Caenorhabditis elegans: one gene and its partners. The protein of the gene in region 2 interacts with the protein of the main gene of each other region in a pairwise test. Each region holds a gene or a part of one and is shown on either strand. Other genes may lie near its edges. The genes, in order: nhr-114, T04C9.1, F08F8.9 and fkh-8.

Region 1 (5,220 bases), on a different chromosome or scaffold from region 2:
CTGACACTACGTGAAGTTGGATTTTTGCAATCTTCCGCGATTTTTTTTTCATTTTGTTTGTGATTTTTTAAAGAAATTTAGGACAATTTTGGATTTTTGCAAAAAGTCGCTTTGAAGTCTGAATAAAAGCATTTTCGGCGTATCCTGCGCGCATGGGTCTCGCCACGCTGACATCGAAAAAAAAAATTCTGAGAATGCTGCGTATTGTGCAACACATTTGCCGCGCAAAATATCTCGCAGCGAAAAAGAAAACTACAGTAATCGTTTAAATGGCTACTGTAGTGCTTTTGTGTCGATTTACGGGAGATCGATTCTTTAATTAAATTCTTCTTTTCAAATATTACCGGTACAGAGAGTGTAGATAGTTGAATGGACACAGACATTCCGGAACCCAAGGGGCGGGGCGCGGGAAGAGACGATTTTTGTCGATTTACGGAGTGTTTTTATTCACAAACTCTCCGTAAATCCATACAAATCGGCTCTTCCCGCAACCTTGGGTTCCGGAATATCTGTGTCCATTCAACTTTCCTCATTCTCTGGACCGGCAATATTCGAAAAGAAGAATTCATTTCAAAAATCGAGCTCGTAAATCGACACAGAAGCACTACAGAAGTCATTTAAACGATTACTGTAGTCTTCTTTTTCGCTACGAGATGTTTTGCGCGTCAAATATGTTATGCAATACGCATTCTCAGAATTTTTTGTACAAATATTGATGTTTTTATTTTAATCATAAGATGGTTAAATTTACCAACAACTAATTCTTAAATTGATTAGCACTTATCAGTGTCTTATCAGCAATCAAATGACCAAAACATCTAATAGGACGAATTTTCGCCTATTTCTCAGCAACTAACAATGCAACTTTCTCATTCTTCATGTCTCCTGTATCATAGACAAATTGATTAGCTCACGTAGTGCCAGACGGTCCCATTACGGTTTGATCTACAAAAAATGCGGAAATTTTCGCCCAAAAAAATGTGTGACGTCAGTACGTTTTTAACCATCCGAAAACAGTTGAGAACTCTGCGTTTCTTCTCACCCGCATTTTTTGTAGATCAACGTAGATCAATCCAAAATGAGACACTCTGCCACCACGTGTAGCTTCTTCTTCTGCTGCTGCTGCTACAGTCTGTGTGTACAAAAGTCTTCTCACATAGTAGGTAGGTGCAGACTTCTTTCTTTATCAAATCTTCCCTTCTTCAACATTACATGGCGTGGTTTTCTCGTGGCATTTTCCAAGAGAGGCTCCACCCCCCCCCCCCCCCCCATCGCATGTACTTTGTTCATTGGTCAAGAAGAATCGTATATAACGGGCAGCGATAACGTCCCAAATCTTTGTCGTATGACGACGGGGACGATCGGAAATTGAGAGGAGGAGGGGGTAGTGTGAAAAATACATGAGGACGCGATGAAGCTGCTGGTCAGCAGCAGGCCCCAAGCCACTGTGTTTTATTGCAAGACAGTTCGATCTTCACGTTGATATCAGACATATATAGAATATACATCTCAAGGTCTTCTATTCTCATTTCTTAGGCAGCCTGTTAATATGTTGATAATGAACAATCATTTGACCGCCCGTTTTTCCGAGTCACTTCATCAAGGACTTGATTTCTTTCCAAAAAAACTTCCAAAACCACCCAGCAAATCATTGTTTCAAAAAAAGTTTGCTCAAATGATTAGAAATCAAAAGTTCAAATGTTTTTTTGCAACAGCTGTCCCTAGCCTGTCTCACATCACAGTTCAATTGTTGTAGTTTACCTCTCCTCTTCTCCTTCATTTTATCTCTAAAACGCATCGATTCGGGGGCACTTTGCATTTGTTATCGTGTCTAGTGTCTCTTGGCATTATTCTCGTTGTCACAAAAAAAACCAATACAAACAAGGCGTATTTCAGGTCAAAATGACACCTCAATCGTCTCCGAGCTCGTCTCGTGATCACGTTTGTCTCGTTTGTCAAGATTTCGCTTCTGGCTACCATTATGGTGTCCCGTCATGTGTCGGATGCAAGACATTTTTCCGGCGAACAATTATGAAGAAACAAAAGTACATTTGCCAATTCGAGGGCAATTGTCCAGTTGATAAAAGTGAGTTATTTAGCACACTTGGTGTCAGGCTGTCCCATTTCGGTTTGATCTACAAGAAATGCGGGGATTTTTCGCCCAAAAAATGTGACGTCAGCACGTTCTTAACCATGCGGAATCAGTTCCGCAATTCTCGTAGATCAAAACGAAATGGGACACTCTGACACCACTTGTTAGCAGTAACAAGGAACTTATAAAAAATATTTCAAAAGTTCAGCTATCCGCTGTGCCTGCCGATACTGCCGATTCGAGAAATGTTTGAGCGTGGGAATGGACCGAAACGCCCTCCAACAAAACCGTGACCCTATCGGATACACAAAACGTACCAGGCGTCCAAAAAAAGAGCTGAAGACTACCTCGGACTGTTCAAGTGACGAAGGAGCAAGCACCCCACCATCAGTGTCTCCATTACAGCTATCGGTAATTAATTAGTCCAATTACGGTTTGATCTACAAAAAATGCGAGAATTTTTTTGCCCAAAAAATGTGTGACGTCAGCACGTTCTCAACCATGCAAAATCAGTTGAGAACTCTGCGTCTCTTTTCCCGCATTTTCTATAGATCTACGTAGATCAAGCCGAAATGAGAAACTCTGACACCACGTGATCCCAAATTACAGCCTCCACCAATCTCGCCACTCCTTTTCCAAGCTGCACCACTGAAACCTCGTCGCTGCATCCTACAAACTCTTGCCGAACGCGAAAAGTGTGCAAATGATCTCCGACTCTCCGAATATCTTCCAATCCGATCTCTCCACGAGGCTCTATGCTCAAAGGCTCTGCTGAACGACACGGCTTTTTTGGAAAAGTGGGGACAGCCGAGTGAGAGACATCAGATCTTCGATCTACGATTCGTCAATCACGACGACTACCACTATTGGCACGAGAGAGACTGGTTCTTGTTGACAGAGTATGCCAAAACATTCGATGTTTTTGAGGCGCTCGATTATCAAGATAAGGTTGGAAGAAAACCAGAAACATGTATAACGATTTAATTATTTCAATCCTTTCCAGGCCGAACTTGTTCGCCATGCCGCAATAACAGTCCCAGTCCTGGTTCAAGTCTGGAACTCCCCGGACTACGGACCAGACACAATTGTATTCCCAGATGGTGCCTACTTCGATCGTACTCCAGAGCCAACCCGGTAAGTTGTCGGTCACATATACTCCAAACCGAGCCCCAATTCCCGTCTCGTTCCGCGTTGTGTTCAATCGTTATAGGCCAGCCGGACTCAACAGGAAAAAGTATCAAATGTTGGATCTCGTGCTCAAGCCGTTCCGTGATCTACAGCTCGACGCAACCGAATTTGCAGCGTTCAAAGCGGTAACGTTTCTGAATCCAGGTCCGGGCGGAATCTCAATAAGAGCCAAACTTTCACTTTGATGCGATTCCAGACGCTGACATCTCTCTACCGGCTCGCAAGCTTGTGAACAACGAACGAGTCCGCATCACCAAGCAGTTATACGGCTACATGGCCATGAAAGACGACGTGGACACGGCAATCGAAAGGTTGGTGAAATCACGTTTTTCCTTCCTTTGATGCATTCATCTATTACTCGCTTGTCGATCAAATCAAACATTGATAGATCACAATTTGATGTGTCTTGTTGCGGACTAGCTAAGTAAGCTAAGTTGGAACACTTTGACCAAAATTTCGGTAAATTCTCTAAATTTTGCTAAATTTTCAAATTTTTGGTAAAATGCTAAAATTTTGGTAAATTCTCAACATTTTGGTAAAATGCTAAAATTTTGGAAAAATTCTCACAATTTTGGGAGGCACCACGGAAACGAGAACATGTGAAAAAGGAGAATTACGAAAAGGAGAACACAAAACCACGCCTATTTATCCGTGCCGAGCGCAAGTTTTTGCATAAACTTGTGCAAATTTTTATTTTCAAACGAGACAACGAAGATCCGAACTAACGAATTCGTGTGATAAACAACACGCGATACGTTCTTTCGGAGCTTCGCGTTATCTCGTTTGAAAATAAAAATTTGCACAAGTTTCTGCAAAAACTTGCGCGCGGCATGGAAAAATGGGCGTGGTTTTGTGTTCTCCTTTTCGTAATTCTCCTTTTTCACATGTTCTCCTTTCGGTGGTGCCTCCAAAAGTTTTGGCAATTTATTAAAAAATTGGCAATTTACCAAAATTTTAAGAATTTACCAAAATTTTGAACATTTCCCAAAATTTAGGCAATTTATCAAAAAATTGGCAATTTATTAAAATTTTGAGAATGTACCAAAAGTTCGGCAATTTACCAAAATTTTTAGCCCCCGGCACTGATAGATCACAATTTCATCCCCGTGTTGCAGATTCGCACGATTGGTTCTGATGGGAACGTCCATGTCAAAAATGGCGTGCGAATCGAAAGAGGCCGTGTGGATTGCAGACTTTTTCGAGAATATCGGCTTCTCGGCGTTTGCCCGGCAACTGTTTTTCGGTGATACGACGAGCGTTGTTGCTCACAAATTGTGAAGTGAATAAATTTAAATTTAATAAATTAATTTCCAGAAATATTTACACGCTTGAAAAAAAATCTCAATGCTAATCCTATTTATATACGTTTATTATTATTTTTTTTTTTTGGTATTTTTTTTGCAATAAAGTTTTAACTTTTTTTTCTTACCGCCTGAATTGGTGCAGCAGCAACAACGGCTTCTCCAAAATCTCCCCACTCATCGTCGTCATCGTCTTCTTCTTTCTGTATTTCCGAATTTTGAAATCCCGTAAATTCGTCCTGTGATAATGCAGTCGTCATCTGAAATTACGGGATTTTTGGGGTAAATTTTTGGCAAAATTAGTTCAATTTTTAGAACATTTTTTGACAAAAAAAATTGATTGCAAATTTTAATTTCAAAATGTTGCATTGCTATTTTAAAGTTGATTGAAGGTTTTTGTTCATAATTCAAAGCAGGGGTCGGGGGCAAACGATTTTTCCGGCAAATCGGCAAACTGACAATTTGTCGAAAATGACATTTTCTGGCAAATCGGCGAAATTGCCGGAATTGAAAATTTCCGGCAAATCGGAACACCGGCAATTTGCCGAAAACGAAAAATTCCGGCAAACCGGCAATTTCCCGAAAACGAAAAATTCCGGCAAACCGGCAATTTCCCGAAAACGAAAAATTCCGGCAAAT
Region 2 (4,637 bases):
CTTCTTCCTCCGTCGCCGCTGTCGTCGTTTTTCTTTCCTCTTCATAATCGCTTTCCGTCGACCACTCGAATATTCTGACGTTCGCCGTGCCGCGACTCATCCGTTCGTTTCTATGATTCGAATTTTTTGAGAAAAACTAGAAAGCGTTGATATTGTCAAGTGTTTCGTTTTAGGATATATTCTAAAGACGAAAGGACGGATGCAAGTGTGTGTATGTATTTGTGCCATTGCAATGACGAGAGCGGAGCAAAGAAAATGACGAAGAAGAAGAAGCAGTCCTTCTCTTCGCTCATTCTTCTACTGCTCGTTCTTCCCATATATACTCATTCCCCCCGGAGAATTGTTCTTTTCCGCATTGCTGCTTCCCGTTGCCGCTGTCGTCGTCCGCCTTTCCTTTCGATTCGAATCGGATCGACAAGTTCCAGACGGCAAGAGTCATCCCTTCCATCCATAAACGCCATCACTGTCGTCGTCGTCGTCGCCTTCTTCTTTGAAAAAATGAGAAAAGCTAGAAAAAATGACGAATTGTGTTGGAGTCCTCGTCCTTCTCCTCTGCCTCTCCTTCTTTGGCGATGGCACACAACAGCATGGCCACAACACAAATAACGCGATAACTTTGTTTCGGCTCCTATACAAATTTGGTTATTTTTGTTGGTCGCTCCAACATTTTTTTCGTCCTCATCCGAGCCATGACTTCTCTTCTCCTTTTCCTCTATTTCGTCTCAAACTTCCGTTCTTTTTTACCTAATCATCATTATTAGCCCCATCCTTATCATCTTCTGGAACCCACATCGTCATCTTCGGTTTCTTTCTTTTTGAGGCACAAGCAACAACTACTTTTCTCGCATCTTCTCTCCTCCAGCTTCTCTTCTTTATGAGCCGGGTTAGGGGCTCTTCGAAAATTGTTTCCACTCGGCTGCCTTCGTGTTTTCGACGTGCCCGAACTTGCTCAAAACCGAAGCTCACGCATCGTTAGGTAACGAAAGAATTACACGTAGGAGGGACGCACTGCCGTTTGATTCTTATCTGTCATCGTCAGGATTGTTGCAACCTCTTCAATCCTCCGGATGTGCGTTGATTCCCGCACGATTAGACAATTTGTTGTGAAGGTGTACGCTATGTTTTGTCGTAAAATAGGTCACACTTGGAAGTTTTATTTTGGCAGCTTCATAATTATTCTAATTTATGATGTGATGGATTTTCTTTTTATATTTCATTTATCTGATTACCTTTCTCATTTTCCATATCAATTCTTGCTCGGTTCATCAGCTAATTCCATTGGTAGTGTCAGAATTCATGTAGCAGATAGATAGATACTCATAGATATTCCTTCGTCGCCTCAAGTATCAAGTTTCTTGCTTCTTTTTCTTCTTCTTCTTCTCTTCGCTTGTCCATATCCCCCGCGAGTTCTTCTTTCCTTTTCTTTTAATTGTTTACTTCTTCTCCTCATTCTACTCATCTTTTCCTTCATGTTTCAGAAAAAATTGTGGTATTTTGAGACAATTTTTTCTTTTCATTTCTCTATGTTTGCCTATCACTGAGGCTTTTTCTCTTGAAAATCTCTGCAAATCATTCCAATCAAAAATAATTTCAGGACACCTTGTCCAGTAGACAAAACCCGTCTACTTAGGACTCTGCGCTCATCACAAATGGTGTTACGGGCGCTCGAGTTTTCGGACTCGATATCCGATTCTCCGTGGTTTCGACAAAATTTGCATGATCACGAAGTGGCACTGGACGACGCTTTCAAGAACATCAAGCTCATTGAGAATCAGTGCAAGGAGCTGATTGCGTGCACAAAAAGTATGTGGCTTTTCTCTCTTTTTGACCCTTTACTTTTCCATTTAATCGCGTGGAATTTATAATTATTTTTATTGCAGAGCTTTCAACAGCACAACGAGCATTCGCAAAGACGTTAAGTGAATTCAAGTTTGAAACAGTCGGAACAAATCAGACAGATGATGAACGGTTTATTGGTGAGACTTTTGTTTAGCAAAAATTTATATAAAAAAATACGCGATGTTAAAAAAAAAAGTACAAAACATTTTTATTTTAAAAAAATTTCGCAGTAAAAAAATTAATTTCGGAATTTTATTATCCAGCCAAGAAAAATCGAAATTTGCTGAAAACATGTTTTTAAATGTTTTAAAATTATTAAATTTCAATTTTTTTTAATTTACCATAGTTAAAAAAAAATTTTAAACATTTTTAGGAATAGCAAAAAAGAGTATTTTGCCGTAGCAACCGTTCATTTTTGCCAAATTTTTCAAAGTCATATTTTTTACAATAAAAAAATAGTGTTGAACTCTCTTTTAAAATTTTTTTAATTGTCTCGAATTTCAATATTCCAACAAAGACCTTCGAAATCTGAATTGTTCGTGAAATTTTGAAATTTTTATAAGTTTCCTTCAATAAAAAAATTCGTTTCAGTTTTTTCTCCCAAAAAATCTATCGAAAGTTAACAAAATCCAAATTGCAAGTGATTCTCATTGTAATTTACCAAAATGCTTAATTTTCATAAATATTTTTATTGTCTTTGAAATAATATTTCACATTTTCAGCCACATGTCTAAAAGAATTCGGAAGTCTGATCAATCAAGTCGAAGATGAACGAATGAAACTTGTTGGACAAGCTGAAGAAAGTTATTTGGAACCAATAAAAAAGTTTCGAACTGAGGCGATTGGTAGAACATTGAAAGAGGAAAAGAATAAATATGACAAAGAAAGTAGCAAGTTCTATCAAACACTTGAAAAACATCTTCATCTGAGTACTGTTCGTAATAACGATTTTCGAGCCGCTGATGCCCAATTGGAGACTCAACAGAAAAACTTTTTTCAAGCTTCGTTACAGGTTTGAGTTTATAAAGTTGTCTTCAAATTATAAAATTGGAAAAAATTTGTGTTTTAATTTTCAGAATTAATGAAATTTTGGCCATTTTCTATTTTTAGACTAAAATTTCTTTCTAAATTTTTTTTTGGAAAATCGAAGGAATTTTGGTTTTTCGAATTAAAAAAAATCAACAAAAAAAATTTTTTTTCTGAAATATTGCGAATTTAAAATTTCTTTCAAAAAAAAAAAAACTTTCTGCCTTTTCAGAATTTAAAAAAATCAAAAGTTTTCGTTTTTAGTTTTTCTAAATAGTGTAATTCAAGTTTTTAAGAATTTGCCGTTGGAAATAGTACAATATAAATTGCTATTTTCAGTTAAAAAGTATATTCAACATAATTTCTCAAAAATAAAAAATAAAAAAAATTTACAGTATGTGGCAGAAGTTCAATCAGTTCAAGAACGAATGCGGTTCGAGTTTGTCGAAACATTAGGATCTTATGTTTATTCGTGGCTTTCATTTTTTCATGTTGGTAAGTATTTGTACAGGTAAAAAAAAGTTTCTGAATGATTATACAAATTTTATAAATTTGAATATTTTTCACAAAAAAAAATAGAAATTACTTGAAAAATCAGATTTTCGACAACTTTGTCTCGATTATAATTTTGAAAATAAAACTAACTATTTTAAATCACAAACTTTTCTATTTCACTTACAGAAATTCGGATTTCATGTAAAATTTCGACCAGAATGAAAAAAAAATTAAAAATTAAACAAAAATATATTTTTTCATTTTTTTTCTATAAATTATCGAAATATCATCGAAAATGAAGAAAAAAAAATCAAACTACTCACAAAAAGGCATTATTATTTTTAAATTTGGTTTCCAGACACATCATTTTTTTTTGCATTTTTCTAAAACTTTTTCCTGTTTCAGGTAGTGTGATTCATCAAGATTTCAAACCATTCCTTGACAATGTACAAACAAAAGTTCAAAAGGTTAGTTTAAAAAACTCTCCCCGTCAGATCGAAATTTTATCGAATTTCAGACAAAGGAAAATTATAATGCAACGAATGCTGAGGCAGAAGAGCTTAAGAAAAAACTGTTGGCTTCTCATACAAAAGTAAGTTTTTTCATACTTTGGAATTTCATATTCATCGCAAATTTTTATTGAAATTACAGCCGGGTTCTGAAGATCGACGACCGACGCCATCAATTAAACAAGGATACGTGTATATGCAGGAAAAGAGCAAAATTCCGAGTAAGTTTCTATATACAAAATTTGGTTTATTAAAAAAATTCAAAATGAAAAAATGCATCTGAAAGTTCTCGATTTTAGAAAAAATCAACCAGAAAATTATTATTTTATGAATAAAATATTCGGTTTTCACAAAATGAGAGCCTCTTTTAAAAATTAAAATTTTTCGTTCGATTTTGTTATTTTTTATAAAAATCTAACTAATATTTTCAAAAAATAAATTACCAGTTTCAATTGTGAAAATCTTTTCCAAAAATTATTTTCAATTTTTCAATTGGCCTGAAATTTGAAAATTTCACTAAAAAAATTACTGAAATGTGGTTTTAAATTTAGAAAAAAATAAAATGATAGTAAAGAAAACAAGAGACTTAACAGTTTTGTAGCGTTACAGTAACCACTTTGAAAGATAATTCACAATTAATTTTGCAAAATTAGGACAAAAATTTTCGATGATAAAAAAATTAATTTTAAGACTTTTGAAAGTCGATAATTATAAATCGCTATAAGAATACAAAATCGTGATTTTTTCAAAATAATTACAATTTCTTCA
Region 3 (6,863 bases), 1.4 Mb from region 2:
TTTATGTGAATATTCATATGTATATCATGTATAACAAAGAAAGTAACCAGTTTGTACCTGTGTATACCTTCTTGGAAAACAGGCGGTATTTCTGATAATCAACTTGTTTAATCGGAAGTTTTGGAATTTAATTTTAATAACTCCCTACATAAATGTTTTACGAAGTAGTGCATATGCTGAGTCATTTTGCAGTAAATTCATATTTCTGCTGAGAAACTCACACATGCTCAGCTTCTCAAATTATACAACAATTCAGAACTTTCTCTAAAACTGAGGTTTGAGAAAAAATTCATGATATGTTATCGAGTAGCCTATTCCCGAATTACTATATTCATGATGCATCATGTGCTAAATTGCTTCTCACGGAGTTCAAGCATGAAAGTCGAAATTTGAATTGTTCAATATGTTCTTATGAATGAATTTGAATGCCTACTGAAACATGTAGTCGAAAACTTCATCATTTATAAAGAGACCATATTTTAAAGTGAGAAAATTTCCAGCTATGCTTCTCAATACTGTGGCCGTTCAGACTACAGTAATCATCACTCCTCCTATCACGATTCTCATCATCCACAGGATGACTTTTATTATCAAGATGGCCGTCCGATGAAAGCTAATAAAAATCCGAACTCGTTCGGTTCTCGGCGCCGTGGAAGACATCACTCAGGGCAAAATTTCGATGTAGATGAACATGAGTATTATGACGATGATCATGGAGCACGCGAAGGTACAGAACATATACCACACTAAATATTTTGAAAGAATATGATTATAGTAAAGTGTAAATTTAGAAAAAAAAACAGTACCCAAGTTAGATTCGTGTGTTTAACCGAATCTTCTAATTGGTACTATTATTCTGTAGAGCCTGCCAATATTTGAGCTTTTGTTTCTCAGTGGAGATACAATTATCTCGTGATGCTAATGTTTCGGCTTGGTTTTGATTATTCAATCATACCATTAAGACCACAGGAGCAATAACTATATTATGTGGTGTACTGTAGAAGAAACAATTCACCATTGCACATTTGAATTCAACTTTGGAAATTTTATTTCGAGGTGTGATTTTCTTGTGAGTAAAATTGTAACTACAAAATTTTTCATATCTGAATTTTTGCAGTTGATCATTTTCAATATTCAAATTACTATTTATTGAAACGTACTCCCTTTTCCTGATAAGTTGGATGTTTTCCAGGTTCATCCTCTTGGAATCGGCCGGTTGACTCCCATCATTATCAAGGAAAAATTAAGCCCGGTAATAAGACATAACTTTGGTTTGTTGCAAGCAAGTTTCATTTTCAGCATTCCCAAAAAAGAGTCGCGGTGGGAATAAGAAGTATCCTAAAAATCAATATCAACACGGAGGAATGGAATATGACTAGAAGGAATGTAGTGGCGATTTCCATTTGTAAATGTTTTAATACTAGTGTTATAAATGTTATGCTTTGTTCAACTAATGAATAAATTATAATTTTTCCCTTCTTTTCCCTGTAAACTTGTAGACGTTGAAAAATCGTCTTTATTATATATTTTTTTAACTGTTCCCTTCTAAACTTTGCCACGTTAAAGTGGTGCGTCGTGACGTCATAGTGTTTGCGGGCGGTGTCGTAAAGTCTGTTGCACAGCTGTACTTACTACAGAAAACGCTTTAATTTCACAATTTCAGCTGAATATTCTTCCCAAAATGTCATCGGAATGGGATAATAAGGTAATTTTTCTGTTTACTCACAACTTGCGATAACTTTTAAATTATAAATTGTTTTTAATACCAAAAAATCATTAAACTTTTTTTGAAAATGTTAGACAAAAAATAGAAAATGAATAATCGATATAAAATGTTTTCCAGATAATCCCAGTTATCGGAGTTCCACTTGAAGCACGCAAACTCCCATCTGCGCGAATTCCCAAGAAACCCAAGGAGACCGATGGAAATTCAACTGAAACTGTGGTCAACTCTACTGAGAAGCCTGAAGAAAGGAAGGAAAAACCTCCGAAACCACCAAAGCAAAAACAGAAACAAAAACAAAATCTAAACAACAAGTTTTTGAAAAATTTGTGAGAAAGTCTTTAATTTTTTCATTTTTTATTTTGTTTTTCTCAGAATCACCGATACTGGTAAACCGGCAAGTATGAACGGGCTTTTTGTGGCAGAAGAGGAGGCTAAACTCACTTTACTGGAGAAAAAGGCAATGAAGATCCATATTGAAGAGAATACATTGGTAAGTTTTTTTTTGATTTACTACTTTAAAGTAAAATTAAAAATTCGCTTTAAATGGCAGAATATGGACCTTAATTATCTAATATAACTGTTAAAAAGTTCTATTATTCAAAAAAATTCAATTTTTCAAAATTCAAAAAAATTAGTTGAATGTTTTGAGATTTTCGCGTTTTCTGGCTATATTTATCGATTTTTCTCCATTTTTCTGTAATATTTGACTCAAAACACAGTTTGCCAATTTTTCAAACATTTTTATAATAGAAAAATTATAGCTTTTTTAATGGCAATTTTGAAGTTTTAGCGAAGTTTTATAGTTATTAAGGTTTCTTTACGGAAAGACTTCTGAAAAATAGACGAACTATGTCGCAAATCAAGAGATTAAGATAAACGGAAAAAAACCTTTTTAATATAGACTGAAAGCGCAAAAATATTAAAAACTTGCACAAAAAAAAAGACTAAACATTTTGGTATATTTCATAATTTTTTAAACAGTTTTATTCGATCATTGCTATCCATTTTAAGCCAAATTTGAAAACTCTACCTTAAAATAAACGTTTCTACAGAGTGATCCCCAGTTTCCGACTTATACAACGAAGCATCAAGGCAGAATAAAGTTCAAATGCAGATTGCTATGGCTTCTCAACAAGGAAACATTTATGAAAAGAGCTAATAAACCTCATCTCGCCAATATTGTGGTAAAACAAGCACACATGGAAGCTGTTCCGCCGAAACAGAATGTTAATCAAAAGAAACAGATGAAAAATCAGGAAAAAAACAAAAACGCCAAACCACTGATGGATATCAAATTTGATGAAAAAGCCAGATCATTCAAGCAAAGAACGGGAGAAGATTACAATGGTGGTTTTGATATTTCGTCGAACTATCAAGGTTCGGAAGGATCCGGAGGATATCAACATATCGGAAATACTTGGTAAGTCGTGATTAAAAAACTTTACAAGTTCGGACAACAGGGCTGGGGAAAAAATTACAAAAAAATTTTAGGTGTTGATCTTGGACCAAAAAAATACGAAAATCAAAACATTTAAATTGGTTTAAAAAAACCAAAAAGAAGTAGAGTCTATTAAAGATTTATAGATTTCGAGAAGACTATTAAAAAACCACATTTTTCTTTTTTTAAAAAATTGCAAATTATGAAAAGTGTTTAATGTACTTACTGAAAGTGTTTTTTTGGGATTTTTGTGTCAAAAATTAAAAATTTATCAGCCCTGTTGACAATCGAGCGATTAAAATAAAGAAAGCAATTTTTGAATAAAAAATTATTAATTACAAAATTTCAAAGTATAATTTCAGGCCTAACACCGAGAGTCAATGGAATTACGATCCTTCAACAAATGGATATTCGACTTTCCTTGCATCAACTCCAGACACTTCTACGACTTATCAGCCATATCAACCATCAGAATATGCCAATTTTTCTCGTCAATTGGAATCTTCGTCGAGTTCTGTTCCTGTATATGGTGGAGCTACGGATCCAACACAAACATCAACATCTTCTGTCATTTCGTTTGGTGTTGCAGTGCACGAACCAATATCTGAATCCTCGGCATCTGCTTATGATGATCCAACAAGAAACCATTGGAACCCACAATCTGCCACGAGTGACTATTCAACCGTTCCAACTTCTGGAACTTCCAATGTTTTCCCATCGTACCAGACATCAGAATATTCTTCTTTTCCAAATCAAACTCCATCTTCTTCTTCTTCATATCAACAGTCTTCACAATATACTCCGATGGTTCCAGATTTGATAAATCAAGCAATTAATGGTTACACAACTCCACAATATAATCAACCGAATCAGCAAGTAAATCAAGATTTCAACACGAATCAATTTTCCGCTTCTCTTGCTTCTCTCCATTCACAACCTTTGGAAGCTTCCGAAGATGAACTTTTGAGACAAAAAAGACTTATGGAAATTGAGCAAGAGCTTCATATGATCAACGCGAAGAAAATGCATATGCAAATGGAAGCTGAAATTCGGCATCGAGAAATGGAATTGGCAAAGAGGCAGCAATTGATGGAGCTGAGGGAAAGAGAGCTCAGAGATAGAGAATGTTTCGAGAATGGTAGAACTCATGCGGGTCATACAGGGTACGTTTTTGAAATAATTGAACAAGTCCTTTTTTAATACTATCCCATATTCCTGTTTTTTTTCATATTTTTCTGCCTTCTCTTTTGAAGGATAAGTTGATATGAGAGATTCCACTAAATTCCCAATATATTCGTCTAATTTTTTTGAGATGTAACAATCAATTGATTTTTCTTTGATTATTTAATTGAAATTAACCTTCGATTACGATCACAGTTTTCAACTTTTCATTGTTTCTTTCGAATTCAGAAACATCGGACAGTGACCTCTAGTTCTGAAGTAACTGAATTCGTTCTGGCTAATCATTGAAAGACTCTGAACGAAAATATTTGAAAATGGGAAAATTGTGGCTCAGAATGTTATAATCGATCGTTTGAGATTTCTAATCGCCATCTGTAAAGCTCTGAGATACTCGTTTAGAATTACATCAAGCTTAGGCTTTGTGAAACATTTTGTGTCCATTCACAAAAAAGTTTGAGGAAATATATTTTGTTTTCTACTTTTATTCCCCCTATTCAACCCCCCCCCCCCCCATATCTTGTAGAATTTCAGATTAACTGATATTCTATTATCCCCTCTTTTCAGCCAGCACAACTATGATAATCGAGAATACAGTTCCCATCACGAATCTAAAAATCCATCTGTTGGCGGCAACTATTCTTCGACTTCGCGGTCGATAAGCATCAACGAGGATCCCGCTGCTTCTCACTATTATGGACAACGAGTCGAAAGAAAGAAGAGACTGGGAGGAGAATTAGCGAGACGACAGGGAAGAGTCTACGAAGAAGGTACAGACAAACGATTTCACATGATGACGCGTTTTCTTTCTTGGATTTTCGATTTTTCTCTCTTTCATAATGTTTTTTGGTTATTTTTGCAGTCAGTATTCAAATCGTAACAGAGGGTTTTTCCAAAAATTACGATTAGAACTTCTGACGCTAATAATCTTCAAATTTGACTATTTCTACTCCCCATCATTGGACTTCCACGTAGGCGTCAAAATGCCTGCCTCGCGCCTCAAACCGGTGCCTTCTGCTAAAATACACATGAATTTAATTTTTTCATTTCTCAATTTGATTCACATTAAATTGATTGAAATTACAAAATATAAATTCGTAAAGTAATGTCAGAATGCAGAAAGAGGCGAGAGGCTGGAAGGTTTCAGGCAGGCACCTAGACCTTCAAACCACGCATGCCTACCTACCAAGATGTATAATACCTGTTCGATAATTTAACGATTTTTGAAGCATAAAATCAAAATTTGTTGGTTTTAATTACTGGGCTGAATATACTCATTCCTGATTCAAATAATTCCCAGCTGATTCCCCAAATCTTCTTATTTCAAATATCCTCATACTTTCTATTTTCAGTTTCAAGCCCAGGCCCATTGAAGCGATCGGCTGATCAAAGTAGAGCAGGAAGTATTCAACCAGGTAATCAAACAAAAAACTTTTTTCAATCATAACCTATAGGTCTATAGTTGCAAAAAAATCGAGTTTTGATGCAAAGTTACAGTACCCGGTCTCACGCCTTTCAAGAGTACAGTAGTTCGCCACCCCCAGTTATTTAATACTTTATCTGCCTTTTCATTGACATTGCTCTTAAAATTTCTTTGAAAACAAATATTAAATAAAATAATTTTTAAAAGTATTTGATGTGATCACATCAAAGAAACGAGATAAATAGCAAGGAAAATTCGCAACTACAGTAATCCATAAAAGTTCATAAATGTTTCTGTCGCGCCATGACCGGATCCAGTAATTTCTTATCAAAAATGGCAAAGTGGTAATACACATATTTTTTTCAGCTGAAGGTCCCAGCAGGAAACAACGTCGTCGTAACAACAAAAACGTTCAAGTAACGGTCAATATGGAAGATATCAGTGATGACGAAGAAGTTTGATTCACAATTGGCTGGAAAACTTTGTTTTGTTCGAAATCAATTCAATCGTAGAATCGTTATTGGAAAATCTCGTTCTTTTTTAATTCAATTTAAGTTTTTGAATGAAGTTTTACTCATAACTTCCGTTTAATTTTATTTGTTGTTAATTTTCTAATCGTCAAAATATCGATGAATATATTTATTTCTCATAGTAGTGACCAACATTTCAGTCACTCGAAAAAACAATACTTTCAGGAACACAGAATGTCAGAAACTTGGGAAGCGTTGCGGAAGAAAGCCCGAAGCACAGAAAATTCCATCGATGTCAAGCTCGTCTCCCTGAATAAATTAACGGCTAGCTCTCATGGTAAGTATTACCAAGAATTTTACGATTTTATCCTCAGAAAATACGATACCGGGTCTTGACACGAAACATTTTCATAAAATACAAAAAAGTGTGCGCCTTTGAAGAGTACTGCACTTTCTGAATTGTGTTGATGCGGAAGTTTCAAAAAAAATATATGTATTTATTTGAAAAACCCAAATATTATATATTCTGAAAAAAAAACTTTAAAAAAGAAAAAGAAACTAATGAAAAAACCAAAAAGGGCATTTATAAAGAACATTTTCGTGTCGAGACCGGGTACAGTATTTTTG
Region 4 (4,114 bases), on a different chromosome or scaffold from region 2:
CGCAGACAACAAACAGACTTGTATCCCTAATTTTTCCAGCATCGCTATGTTGGCCTCTCTCTTTTGTGCATGTTGTTTTGTGCTTCCACGATGGCATCTCCAGTTCATCTCCAGATGTTATCGCGTATTGTCAAAGAAACTGTATCTTTAAATATGTACCAAGTATGTTTATGTATCAATTGTCTACTAGCATACTTGGTACGTCTTCAATTTCGCCATCTCCAATCTTTATGACGTTTTTGACATTGGGATTCCTGCCACTTATTGAATTTACGTGACGGAGGTTAACGGGGTTAGACTGAATAATTAATTGCTGTATCAACTCATGAGTACTCAACCAAAAAAGTTGGTGCACATCTGTAGTCAAAAAGTGGCTAGATCGCTCATGAAAATTTGGACACATAGGTTTTTTTTTTCGAATTTGAAATCGAATGCCATTACCAGATTTTTTTTTGGAAAGTACAGGCGTGGCTACATGCATAAACTTGGCGTATAGTATCAGTAAACAATTCATTGAATGTTTACGAAAAATGAATATGAAAATGAAAACTAACTAACAATGTATTTTTGTACAAATGAAATTTGGACACTGTGTGAAAAATATGTGAGTTTTTGAACCTTTAGATTAACAATTTATAGCAATTTATCCCAGTCATACTCATCATCTGAATCATTGTTAACTGGTTGAAGAGTGGCTGAAAGAACAGAATCTGAGGATGAATGACGGCCAGAGTCTGTTCTTGGAGTTGAGACATCACTGTCGCATTCTGCTGGGAATCCATTGTAGACGTAATCTAAATTTTTGGAAATTAAGTTTAAAAATAGTTTCTTTTCATTTTAACCTTTCAACTTATCCGTATCAACTTCTTGAAGTTCTTGTTCATCGTGATAATCAAGTCCAGCAGCTTCTAAGCTTATTTTCAACCAATCGATTTGAGCAGCCTGAAGTTAATAATATACTTTAAGAATTAATTATTGAATTTCCAACACACAAGATCTCTAGAATTTTGCTTCTCAGAACTGAACTTTTTTTTCACTTACTTGCTTCTTCCCATTGGGGGAAGTGGACTTCTCAAAAATTTGATTGTAGACATCACGGAATGATGAGTTTAGATCATATGACTCGAACAAATTCAAATCTCTTATTTCGTGTTCCTGTGAATGAAATAAAATTAAGCTTGCATGAGGGAATGTTTGATAAGATACCGTAAGTTCATGTACATTTCCATTAATTTCTGACAGGAATGGATCTTCTGGCGGAGGAGTGAAATTTGGCATGTCTTGTTTATCTGAAAACAATTATTGATATTGTTGATCAGTTATAATCTTATGTATTACTATGATATAGATGCTCGTAAATTGGATTTACTCGCACTGGGGATCCTTTGAGAATTCGTGGTTTCTTGGCTGGCGGATCTACACAAACCCACCATCCTCCTGTAAAAATGAATTCAATTAAATTAATCATTAAATAATTATCTCACTTCTATCTCCATCAGTCTTCTCAATGCGGCTGAATTGTTTATTTAATGACAGATTATGGCGAATGGAATTCTGCAATTTCAAACGTAGAATTCCAATATCCGGAATAAGGATTACCTTCCAACTTGAATTCCGGTTTTCACGATAGAATTGAAAGTTGTGAGCAATGAAAGAGTAGATTTCAGCAAGAGTACATTTTTTATCGGGAGTATCTTCGATAGCTAGACGAATAAGTTGAGAGTATGAATATGGTGGCTTATCCGCTCCATCAAAAATTCTCCTCCGTTTTCCTTCGTGTGCAGGAGCCACTGGCTGAAATTAGAAAGCAATTATAAAAGAGCAATAGATCTTTCTAAAAACCAGATGTTGACCTCAGCCACATAAATCTAATTCGAGTTATGACGCTGCAGGTGCCACCCTCACCGAAATTGAATTGTATGAAATTACCGGCGTAATTTAATTTCAAGGAAGGACGAAAAAGGCCAGGTCATTTAGATTATGTATTCGAAAAATATATGTAAGTGATGTTTGCAACTAAATTAAAATTATTAATTCTAAAAATATGAGTAGATTTGCAACAAAACATTCAGAGCATAATTGAAAGAGTTCTCTGATTTTCTATGACATTTCAAATATTTATTAAAATTGCCTTTGACGTTTCTGCAGGTACTGTAGGAGATAGGACCAGTGGCGAAACATTCACAGATCCAACAATATTAGGGTTTTCAGGTACTTCGATTTCTTGTACTGTGTTCAGTCCACCTTTGGCAATGAGCCAGTTCAATTGGCACAAGCTTGAGCTTAGATCTGACATCACAAGTGATTGACCTTCTGAAATTAAAACTGTGGATCTTAAAAAAGAGGAGAATCGGTGGATGAATGGAGGAATAATTGAGATTGGAAATGCATGAGGTTTGTGAAAATGGAATGAAGAGGAAAAGAAGAGAAGCGAGGAATGCAGCAAGCAGGTGACACGAAAATCGATGCAGAGCAGGCGGCGTCGTTGGGGCAACCAACAGACTGAACGGCTTCAGGGAAAAAGAGGAGCGAATGTTAGTCTGTGCATGAATGAGTCATAGAATAAGGAGAAGGTGGGACCAACAAGACAACAAATAAAAAAGAAATAAAAGTAAGTAAAAGAGCAAACATCGAAACCTCAACGAGATCCACGACAGAGTGATTCAAACGAAACAAGTCTTGGAAAAAATTCTTATTTTTGGGGTGTTGAGAACGAACACAAAACGTATTCAGGTTTTTCCAGGTATTCTTATTCAGATATGATATTTTTGTAAAACAACATTCATTAGCATGGGAGCCGTAGTAGTTGGGTTACTGTAGCACAAGTTTCTGTGATTTTATGACTCGTTGAATAACTTTGAACAATTTCTTAAAGTGATTTATATTCAAAATTTGCCAAAACAAAATCATGATATTTAAAAATGGACACGTATGGTTTTCTATTCTAAGAAAAAAACGCATGTTCAGTCTATTAATTTTACAACAAAAGTGAGCTGATTTTTGGTGGAACTCGATTGCACCTGACATAGTCATCTTTAAATAACTAAAGTTTATTTTAGAATATTGTATTCAGTTTGACTTACTCGAAAAAATAAATAATGAGTATACTATACCATCAACTCGTTGTTTTTATTTCATACTGCCGGGCCTGAAAAAACATCACTTCTGAGAATATAAATCTAAATTTGGGAAGTTATAGACAACTGCTAGGGGAGAATGCGTCAGAACCCTTTTGAAAATACGCGCGAGGCGATAATTTCTGGTCAGAAGTGAAACAAGACGGCGGCTGATTGTGTGAGAAAATAGAAAGAAAAGGTGCAAAACACGAGAAAGAATACATTCAATGTATTATATCATTCTGAAACTCACTTATATTCATTTGATCATTGATTTCAAATATATGACATAAATCGAAATTGGAAAACATTTTTAGATTTTTGTGCTGCTGAATAACTGTATGTAGTTTTAGAGCGTTTAGATTACAAATCTATAGCCCGTAAGGAAAACATAAATACCGTATTTCCTATATTAATCTTGATTCTTGCACTCTACGGGGTAATTAAAAAATATTGTTGCAGAGATTACAGCTGATTAAAAAAATGATTTCAATTGTAATTCAAATTTTAGAGATGTGATTCCATTCTGAACAAAAAACGTGATTAAAATGAAATAAATGAATTGAGGGCATTGGGACATGAAAATAAAATGCCATCCGCGTGAAACGTCTCATCAGATGAACAACCGGAGTTTTGATTATTTCTGAATAATATTTTGTATCGATTGCCTACGCGAATTTCGAAGGTGAGCGAAGTTTCTAGAACATGACAACGTGGAACCAAAATCACTTCAGATGTCAAAATCAAGGCGCGTGTTTCTCTCAATGCAAGGAGATGATGACTTCTGGGGTAATGGTGATAGATTTGAAGAACACAAGCTGTCGAAGATGAATCGTCGTAAATGTCGTGGTATGATGGACACTGCAAAAGATGATGTGCTAGATGAACATTTTTTCAAACAAAATAACTTGGTCACTCAAGAATTGGAACAGCAAAATGCCAAATCCAATGATATGTTTCGTGAAAGACAGGACTGGAATTCCAGCACTCCATTGGAG

Evidence for each region.
Region 1: the proteins of T04C9.1 (region 2) and nhr-114 interact in a two-hybrid assay, tested with the Caenorhabditis elegans proteins (2 studies listed by BioGRID).
Region 3: the proteins of T04C9.1 (region 2) and F08F8.9 interact in a two-hybrid assay, tested with the Caenorhabditis elegans proteins (2 studies listed by BioGRID).
Region 4: the proteins of T04C9.1 (region 2) and fkh-8 interact in a two-hybrid assay, tested with the Caenorhabditis elegans proteins (2 studies listed by BioGRID).

What each region holds. Positions count from the first base shown.
Region 1 is NC_003283.11:4,185,307-4,190,526, forward strand, and holds nhr-114 (Nuclear hormone receptor 114), read left to right. Parts: upstream 1-1,896; 5' UTR 1,897-1,902; coding exon 1,903-2,086; intron 2,087-2,300; coding exon 2,301-2,503; intron 2,504-2,701; coding exon 2,702-3,040; intron 3,041-3,095; coding exon 3,096-3,226; intron 3,227-3,302; coding exon 3,303-3,424; intron 3,425-3,476; coding exon 3,477-3,591; exon of another isoform or gene 3,592-3,704; intron 3,705-4,395; coding exon 4,396-4,558; 3' UTR 4,559-4,698; downstream 4,699-5,220. Other genes in the region: Y45G5AM.9 (Aftiphilin clathrin-binding box domain-containing protein), read right to left, coding at 4,710-4,841. UniProt on the Caenorhabditis elegans protein: Probable transcription factor which may have a role in detoxifying dietary metabolites arising from bacterial tryptophan metabolism.
Region 2 is NC_003281.10:5,991,625-5,996,261, forward strand, and holds the start of T04C9.1 (Rho GTPase-activating protein 26), read left to right. Parts: upstream 1-1,594; 5' UTR 1,595-1,649; coding exon 1,650-1,803; intron 1,804-1,880; coding exon 1,881-1,976; intron 1,977-2,561; coding exon 2,562-2,851; intron 2,852-3,260; coding exon 3,261-3,360; intron 3,361-3,765; coding exon 3,766-3,827; intron 3,828-3,877; coding exon 3,878-3,952; intron 3,953-4,011; coding exon 4,012-4,090; intron 4,091-4,637. Other genes in the region: T04C9.2 (uncharacterized protein), read left to right, coding at 256-606.
Region 3 is NC_003281.10:7,348,772-7,355,634, reverse strand, and holds F08F8.9 (uncharacterized protein), read left to right. Parts: upstream 1-1,663; 5' UTR 1,664-1,681; coding exon 1,682-1,705; intron 1,706-1,843; coding exon 1,844-2,052; intron 2,053-2,098; coding exon 2,099-2,216; intron 2,217-2,778; coding exon 2,779-3,146; intron 3,147-3,526; coding exon 3,527-4,327; intron 4,328-4,910; coding exon 4,911-5,113; intron 5,114-5,695; coding exon 5,696-5,758; intron 5,759-6,132; coding exon 6,133-6,227; 3' UTR 6,228-6,344; downstream 6,345-6,863. Other genes in the region: F08F8.10 (Nuclear transcription factor Y subunit), read left to right, coding at 501-727, 1,193-1,252, 1,300-1,379; gos-28 (Golgi SNAP receptor complex member 1), read left to right, coding at 6,471-6,573.
Region 4 is NC_003280.10:6,189,079-6,193,192, forward strand, and holds fkh-8 (Forkhead box protein pes-1), read right to left. Parts: upstream 2,316-4,114; 5' UTR 2,297-2,315; coding exon 2,132-2,296; intron 1,795-2,131; coding exon 1,600-1,794; intron 1,555-1,599; coding exon 1,485-1,554; intron 1,438-1,484; coding exon 1,339-1,437; intron 1,290-1,338; coding exon 1,207-1,289; intron 1,156-1,206; coding exon 1,042-1,155; intron 943-1,041; coding exon 843-942; intron 795-842; coding exon 634-794; 3' UTR 545-633; downstream 1-544. Other genes in the region: cpb-2 (Cytoplasmic polyadenylation element-binding protein 2), read left to right, coding at 3,851-4,114.